Saccharomyces cerevisiae S288C: one gene and its partner. The gene in region 2 interacts genetically with the main gene of each other region. Each region holds a gene or a part of one and is shown on either strand. Other genes may lie near its edges.

Region 1 (3,964 bases), on a different chromosome or scaffold from region 2:
TTCATGTATAAAGTGTAAGCTAAGCCACCCGACATGTATAACGTACCACCAACCAACGTCAGTACCGTTAGACGATGTAATGTATCTGTAACTCTGGTATACCAAGCGTATTTGGACATGACTATCTGCGTTCTATTTTTTGTTCTCTTCCTCTCACCATTGCCAAACCGCTGTATAGATTTATGCTCCTTTCAATGCATTTATTCTGATCCTCTCCGATTTCGTATACCGGGTAACATTAATCGCAAGGAAGGAGAAGCAAAGCTCAGAAGTAAGGAAGAACTTCGAAATCTGCTTCCGAGAGTGAGGAAATAGTGTTTTCTAAAGAGTGTATTTCACAGTATGTAACATTATAAAGACAAAATACTTACTTAAGCAAAGTTATATAGAAGTGACAACGTGTTTTTTCGTTTTGCTATTAGCTTGTCCATTTTACGGTAAAATATACGGATGAAAAGAAAAATTGGGGAGAAAAGTACATTACGTTGACACCCCAATCATTAGTTGAACCCTAATATGCTTTTCGACCAGTTTTTAACGTTATGTAGGTACCTCTTGTAAGCAGGCTCCTTAACAGTGCCGAACAACCATTGCGTATTCTGCTTGGCCAAGTTGATTAAGTCGTCCTTCGTAGAAGTCTGTTTAACCGGAACACCGAATGATTTTAGGTACTGCAATAGGTCTTCTTGAGACCAGCTCTGAAAGGTATTTGACCAGGTCTTAGCGATTTGGTCCTTAGCATCATTTGTGTTTTTGGAAACCTTGTCAAAATCCTGCATAATTGTGGAGTAAGTCTGAGAATCTTGGAAGTCGTCCTTTTTGTCAGCAAACCAACCCTTTATGTCATCCAAAGACCAGTTACTGTTGTCAAAGTATTTTTGGTAGTCTTTTGGCAGGATCTTGAGTTTTTCGTTTCTGGATTTTTTGACTAATTCTCTCAATTGATGTTCAGTAGACAGCATTGAGTACTTAATACCACGAGCATCTAAAAACATTTTCAATTTGTCCTTTGGCCAAGAGTCTAGGCCAACCAAAAAAGTATCATTGATCACATTGTCAGTCTTACCTCTGAACTTGGAGTACAAATTTGTGAGGAAATTTTTAGAAGAGTCCCAAACGGAACCAACGTATTCTGGGGTCTTGGTCAAAAATGGAGAAGACTCTCTTTTCATATAGTCCAGGTACCAGTAGATATCATCTTTCAAATTGGCAGAATTTTCTTTGGCCATTCTAACCAAATAGTCGTGTTTCTTGGCCATGTTCTTGTCAATATTGACCTTGTGGCTCTCCAACCAATTGGTTAACTGATCACTAGACCACTTGTCAAATACAGTGTCTTTTATTTGTCCCGATGTGTCTAATATTTGTTGGTGAGCCAAATCCAAGCTTTCTAGCAAACCCAGACGCTGCTGTTCTGCCTTTTCTGAAGTTCGGTAGATGTTTTCCTTGACTTTCTGAACTAGCTCGTCCTTGCTTTGAACTGCCTTGTCGTAGTCGATACCATTGTCATTCAACCAGTTTTGCAAATCTTTGGTTGACCAGCTATCAAAGTAAGAGCTAGAAGGATAGTATCCCGACGACTTCAAAGATTTGGAAATCTTGTTGAAGTTCTCCTTAGCAGTCTTCACCAGCGAGTCCTTGGAAGCCTTAGCGTCGTCAACATCCACGCCGTTTTTCTTCAAGAAGTTACGTAGACTGTCTGTGGACCAGGTGTCAAAGAGCCAGTCAGAAACTGGGTGATCCGAAGAACCAGTATAACCAAACCATCCGGGGTTACTGTTGCTCACGCTACTGCTGTCACTAGACCACACCTGCCACCATGGTTTGGGCTGCGCGTGTTTGTCCCATACCTGCGATGCCTCCGTTTTCAAGTCCTCAATGGAGTCTGTAGCGTACTTTTCCAAGCTCTTCTTATTATCACGTAAATAATCGGCCAGGTCTTCCTGCGTCCACTTGTCGAACACTGAATCTGAATTGGCCAACACTAAGCCAATAAGCACAAATGATGCGGAAACCGCATTAACCAACTTGAATTGCTTCATCTTCTTCTCTTAATTAACAGTTCTTTTGTAGTTGTCTCCTCTTCTATTGCAGATCCTCTTCTAAACTCCGGTAATCTAATCATGCTAGGAATACGACTCCATGAGTGGCTTTAAATACCCTGTCGATCCCCTTTCACCGCCTCCTTGTTTCCTCCCTCTCCCTTATTTTCCTTCAGTTCCAAAGATCCCTTATTCTTCCCCTCTAAGGTGAGGCCGGCGTAATGCTGTTGCTTACCGACGTAATGGTGGAAAAGGTGAAAAAAGTGAAAATAGTGATATTCTTAGAGAAAAACGAAAACAACAAGTCGTGTCAAGAGGTAGTGTTTTGGGAAAGACGTCATAGAGAAAGGCAGAAAGCTTGTAAAGAAGTGGAAATAAAGATTGAAGATGAACTCGTTAGCTTCAAACACACCGCTAAATGGTACTCCAGTAAGCGAGGCACCCGCCACAAGCTCCGAGCCTGTGAACATGTTCGAGACAATGGTGGCTAACCCTATTAAAGTGTCTCGATTACAGTCTAATGGAGTTCTGACGGGACCTGCAGCCAATACTAAGTCCATCCACTATTCGCTGGCCAATTTTAATGTGTTCCAGTCGCTACCCAAGGAAACGGCCAGAGGTGTAGACGATTTGACGAGGATGGAGATGGCGTTACTGAGTGGGATACCGGAGGAGATTAAGTGGTCTTTAAAAAAATATCTTACGTATAGTAACAAGGCGCCATATATGATCAGCTTACGGACATTGCCGGACCTGTTGCCACTTTTCAAGACTTTCATATTGCCTTTGGAGCGCATCGTGGAAGGTCTTAACAAATCGTCTATATGTGATTCAAAGGCGATGGATTCTCTACAAATGGGTCTAAATGCCTTGCTGATCCTAAGGAATCTGGCTCAAGATACTGATTCGGTGCAGATACTAGTCAAGGATCGAGAAATCAAATCTTTCATTCTTTTCATTTTGAAGAAGTTTCAGTGCGTCGCTACAGGCGATAACAAGTGGCAATTGTACGAAGGAAATGCAACTTTTTTTAACGAGTTGACCCATTATACTCTGGACTTGATGGAGGCCATTTCGTCCTATATTGCTCCTGCAATGAAGGATGATCATTATTTCCAAACGCTGGTGTCCATCTTGAACTACACTAAGGACAGATACATGGTTATTTCTATATTGAGGTCTCTTTCAAGATTACTGGTTAGGTCCAAAGCTAACGAGGAAAGTGCAGCGGACAATTTGGACCATAAGACTCTTTCGTTGATCGTTTCCTTTTTACTGTTAGAATGCGATAGTGAGCTGATTATTGCTTCGTTGGATTTCCTCTATCAATACATTTTGCCCGGTTCTCAAAGAATCACTGAGTTATTCAAGAGTAAGGAGTGCTCTTTGATACTGGAAGCCACGCTGCCTAATTTATTATCATATAATATCGCCACACCAGATTACCATCTTTTGCAAAAGCACAAAATTAGGTTGATTAAAAGGTTGAAGCCTCCCGCTCCAAAGGAGCCTCCCAATTTATCTGAGGATCTGTTTCAACAACTTTTCAAACTTAACGAGCCCTTGAGGTCAACCGCTTGGTTGAGATGTTGCTTTGAGCCTGTACAAGAAGCAGAATTTACACAAATATCGCTTTGGAGATCCTACGAATCCAAATTTGGTCAGCCTGTTCGCGAATCCGGACGCAAATTGTTACCTGCCGTGGAATTCATCAAGAATGTCTCGAATGCTTTCAATAACGCCGCTGCTATCGTAATCACTGACCCGGTAACCGGCAAGAAAAGGTTTGTTATCAAGGGCATTCAACCAAGATTTAAAGCTTTGGGTATTGCAGACGGGGAAAGAGAATCCCAGGTACCCATTTCGGCACTAAAATCCAAATTTTTGAATGACTCTAAGGAAATTACACCTGCAAGACAAAA
Region 2 (5,417 bases):
CCGTACAATTATTGATTGTTAATCCTTTGATATTTGATTTTAATAGCGGTAATTTTAAAAAAAACCTAAAGGCAGGCTTGGTAGATTTTAGCGTTGATTCTGAACCTCTGTCCTTTTCTTTTTTGGAGAATAAGATCTGCATTGGTTGTAAAAAAAATATCAAAATATTAAACGTACCGGAAGTGTGTGATAAAAATGGATTTAAAATGAGGGAGCTTTTAAATCTACATGATAACAAAGTTTTAGCGAACATGTATAAAGAGACGTTCAAAGTAGTTTCCATGTTTCCGATAAAAAATTCAACTTTTGCATGTTTTCCAGAACTCTGCTTTTTTCTCAATAAGCAAGGGAAGAGGGAGGAGACAAAGGGATGTTTTCATTGGGAGGGGGAACCAGAACAGTTCGCGTGTTCCTACCCTTATATTGTGGCAATTAATAGTAACTTTATTGAAATTAGACATATAGAAAATGGAGAACTTGTCCGCTGTGTACTTGGAAACAAGATACGTATGTTAAAATCATATGCCAAGAAGATCTTATATTGTTATGAGGATCCTCAAGGATTTGAAATTATCGAACTGTTAAATTTTTGAGTTGACCGCCCATATTAATACCTTAAAACTTATTTCTTGAACCTATACATCTAAATTTAAGTAATATTATTTTATTTGTATAACCATATGTAGTTTACCTGAAATATATGGGTGCCATTAAGAAAATATAATACAATGGACAAGAATTTTGTCCTAGAAAATAAAGTCTTGAAAGTATATTGTCCTTTCCTTTGGAATATTATGTCACTAGCAAGCATCGAAAATTGATCCAGAGTGAAAATTAATTTTTTCGAGATTAAACTGTGAATTCAAAAGTTTGATTTTAATTGTTTCCTCACTCAACTTGGTACTGAAGTCTTGATTAGCTGTTAGAGAAGATAATTCTGACCGTATTGAAGATGTCGAATTTACTGAAAGCAACTGAAGTAAAATATCGATTACTTCAATCTTGTTTTTACTGCTTATGTAATTATTCCAAATTGAATCCGAGATAGGAATATGAATATCAAATGTCTCTTCCATGGGATTTAGGCACCATTCCCCCGAGTTAGAGTCGTTTTCCTCAGATAACTCATGTTTTGTAAAGTGAGATCCATCGAAGCTAATATCATTATCATTTAAGTAGTCATGGTATGCATTAGGCAGCTCATGCGCAATTCTGTTGACATAGCGTAATAGATCATCCCGAATGATTTGGACAAGTAATGAATCTTCTGTTAGTGGTGCGGTTAACTTGGTGTTACATAAAAGCTCTACGTCCCGTGATTCTTTCATAAAAATGGCCTCGTAGTCAGAAAGAAGATTATTACCGGAATTCCGACCGCTCTCCCCACCACTATTAGAGGAACGAAAATTAGTTATATTGATAAAGTTTTTAAGATACCTTAGAACAATTTTGGTCATGTTATGAACTATTTTATTTACCGATGTTGTGCCAAAGATTTCATTTAGAAGGCTTTTACTTTGGAAGATTGATGGATACAGGAAAGCACCAATCAAGTTTACATCATCAAGTAAATAAAGGTCTTTAACTTTTAGAAGCCTTGCTAGGATTTTTTCAAAGGGCTTTTTAGATTTGGTGAATTTGAAGCTTCGTATAATCTCTGTCAAATATAACTCAAACTTAATGATAAAAACCAAGGTATGGGTAAATTTCAATGGAGCGGAAGAAGCAAAGTACTCAATTGATTGCTCGAAAGTTCTTAACGTCTCTTCTACCGTGTTTATTAGACGAAAATCGGATTCACTAAGTGATTCATTTTCTAAATGAGAGTTGATAGACTTGAAGAAAGGAACTAAGTTTGCAAATTTTTCTAAGATACTCTTCAAAGCTGAAAATCTATCGCAGTTACAGGAAAGGATTGAAGTAAGTTCATTGCAGTTAGGTTGTGTATAATTTTGGCAGTATAATAGGAAATCCGATTTTAGGGAGTCGTTTAAGTTAACTTCTTCTATCAAACAGCATATTTTGCCGAGAATAGTAGATGATAAATCAATATGGGAAAAATCTATTAATGAGTCTAACAAAGAGCCTCCTGAATGATTTTCTTTGGCCACAGAAAAGGAAGACAGCATTGATTCAGTAGGAACATTAAACAACGGCTGTAAAAAACAATGAAGTAATTCAGATACTATGCAAGTATGGTACTTTATCTCCCTCACACTCCCGCTATGGAAAGTAAAATTATGACTGTTTCTATTCTCTAGTACCATTGTATAATGGCTTTGAGGCAAAGTTATAGAAATCACCGATTTTTGTAAGCCAGGGTATTTCGAATACAAATTGTTGAGCTGTTCCTGCCAGACACTAATATCTATATCCGTTGTTTTACGTACAAAAATAGATAATGGTAAACCCTTCGAAACTTTGTTGGTATTATCGAACAGTTGCAAAGAAAATAATGATCTTTTTCCAGCCAGTTCTGTAAAATTTACAGAAATAAGATGGGATAAGTCCAAGTTAGACAATTGTGCCCGAATTTCCCTAGAATATTTCAAGTAAAGAGGTTGATTTGATTCCTTACTATCGGATAAATGGATAGTAAAGGGTAATTGTGTATCATTCCTTGATATAGACCTTCTGATCAACTCATCAATTGATTTTGACAACCCTATAATTGACTCCTCTATTATATTGGTAGTTAAAGGAGGGATCCTATGAAATTTTGATAAAAGAGATTTAAAGGACACATTCTCAAAGAAGTTCAGCGGTAAATTTTCTGAGGCTATGACTATGGCTACTAATTGGGAAATAGAAAGGTAATTACTGCTCTGTAATTTTCCTATGTCAAAGCATTTGAAACTTTGGTCGGAATTGAAGGTTAACGAATCATAGCCGTGTCTACGTGTAATTTCTGTGCTGGAAGTATTGTTTTTGAGATTGGAGTCTCCTACTGTGAAATTCATGGAATAGAAGTTTTTATTGGCACTTATATTATGCTTTGTTTTCAAGTGAGATCTAAAGGTTTTTGTCAAACTTGCATCGCTTCTTGTTAGTATCTCTCCACAATGTTTACATTTAACTTTCGTTAATTTCTTTTCAATTGCTAGAAAATGGGACCAGAACTTTGCTATATTCTTCTTGAGCATTTGAACCGGAATCCATATATTTAACCCATCATTTATGATTTCGTCTTCCGGATGAATTCTACTTGATAGGATTTTATTGCCGTCTTTTTCTATAAGTTCTATATCCTCAGTATCGTCTTCTTCCTCGTCTTCCTCCTCATGACTAGTAGAGTGAGAAGATGAATGATCAGAATTATTGATGATTTCGTTATCTTCTAAAGTCACCAAATCCCCATGTAAATCATCCAATGCAGTGTTCATATTAATGATTGAGTAGATTGGTACATATGCTATTTCGGAAGACTTTTGTTATTCTATGGTTTATCATCCCTTTATTTATTTTGTGTATTGTTTGCTGATCAAAAGTTGAAAATTTTTCGCCTAAAAAGTAAGATACAAAAGAAAATATTGTCGATGATTATTGCATGAATATATCAGCAAAGAGGAAAGGAAAACCTACTGAGGGACTTACATTTCTGCTGAAATATATAGTAATCTATCATGAGCAATGTGGCTGGGGAATTGAAGAATAGTGAGGGGAAAAAGAAAGGCAGGGGAAATAGGTATCATAACAAGAACAGAGGAAAAAGTAAGAATGAGACGGTAGATCCTAAAAAGAATGAGAATAAGGTTAATAATGCTACTAATGCTACCCACAACAATAGCAAAGGCAGAAGGAATAACAAGAAAAGGAACAGAGAGTATTATAACTATAAAAGAAAGGCTAGATTGGGTAAATCAACCGAGAATGAAGGATTTAAGCTTGTTATTAGATTGCTACCTCCAAATTTGACTGCAGATGAATTTTTTGCCATCTTACGAGATAATAATAACGATGATGGTGATAAGCAAGATATCCAGGGTAAACTCAAGTACAGTGACTGGTGTTTTTTTGAAGGTCATTATTCTAGTAAAGTATTCAAAAACTCGACATATTCTCGGTGCAATTTCTTGTTCGACAACTTATCAGACTTGGAAAAATGCGCAAATTTCATTAAAACTTGTAAATTCATTGATAATAAGGATAATATTACAATTCCAGATATGAAACTGTCGCCCTACGTAAAGAAATTCACTCAAACATCAAAAAAGGATGCCGCGCTAGTAGGAACAATTGAAGAAGACGAAATTTTTAAAACATTTATGAATTCAATGAAACAGCTGAATGAAAATGACGAGTACTCATTCCAAGATTTTAGCGTATTGAAATCTTTAGAAAAAGAATTCTCAAAAAGCATAGAGTTAGAAAATAAAATAGCAGAAAGAACAGAAAGGGTGTTAACAGAGCTGGTTGGAACTGGTGATAAGGTCAAGAATAAGAACAAAAAGAAGAAAAATAAAAACGCCAAAAAGAAATTCAAAGAAGAGGAAGCATCCGCTAAGATACCAAAGAAAAAACGGAACAGAGGCAAGAAGAAGCGTGAAAATCGTGAAAAAAGCACCATTTCTAAGACCAAGAACAGTAATGTGGTTATTATTGAGGAAGCGGGTAAAGAGGTTTTGAAACAAAGGAAGAAGAAAATGCTTTTGCAAGAGAAGTTAAAAATATCAAACTCCTCTCAGCCTCAGTCATCATCCGCTCAAACCCAGCCGTCGTTCCAACCTAAAGAAAACCTTTTCGTACCACGGGTAAAAATTTTGCATCGTGATGATACCAAGAAGTAGTAAAAGCTCATGGCTTCTTATATATTATATATGGAATACATTTATAATAAAATAATAAGAATTATATATTTTATGATTATATTATTACATAAAGTATTCCCCATTATAAATTCTGAGTTTCGTATTTAATGATTTTTCAATGAATATTTAAAATAATAAAATATATGAAATGTTCATATACAATGAAATTGTCATGAAGAAAGATGACTCCAAGTATCGTTTATAAATCGTCGAGAAAAAGATTATGAAGTTGGTTAACTTTTTAAAAAAGCTGCGCAATGAGCAGGTTACCATAGAACTAAAAAACGGTACCACCGTTTGGGGTACACTGCAGTCGGTATCACCACAAATGAATGCTATCTTAACTGACGTGAAGTTGACCCTACCACAACCCCGACTAAATAAATTGAACAGTAATGGTATTGCGATGGCTAGTCTGTACTTGACTGGAGGACAGCAACCTACTGCAAGTGACAACATAGCAAGTTTGCAATACATAAACATTAGAGGCAATACCATAAGACAGATAATCTTACCTGATTCCTTGAACCTGGATTCACTTTTGGTTGACCAAAAGCAACTTAATTCCCTAAGAAGATCGGGTCAAATTGCAAATGACCCCAGCAAAAA

The links. Genes that interact genetically often act in the same process or in processes that back each other up.
Region 1: mutations in ENV11 (region 2) and MSC1 together harm fitness more than expected from each alone (negative genetic interaction), as found in Saccharomyces cerevisiae (2 studies listed by BioGRID).

Annotation. Positions count from the first base shown.
Region 1 is NC_001145.3:14,635-18,598, forward strand, and holds MSC1 (double-strand break repair enhancer MSC1), read right to left. Parts: upstream 2,043-3,964; coding exon 501-2,042; downstream 1-500. Other genes in the region: COX14 (Cox14p), read right to left, coding at 1-119; RSC9 (Rsc9p), read left to right, coding at 2,430-3,964.
Region 2 is NC_001139.9:630,681-636,097, forward strand, and holds ENV11 (Env11p), read right to left. Parts: upstream 3,384-5,417; coding exon 801-3,383; downstream 1-800. Other genes in the region: Rho family guanine nucleotide exchange factor ROM1, read left to right, coding at 1-593; UPF3 (Upf3p), read left to right, coding at 3,624-4,787; mRNA splicing protein SMD1, read left to right, coding at 5,032-5,417. UniProt on the Saccharomyces cerevisiae protein: Involved in vacuolar processing and morphology.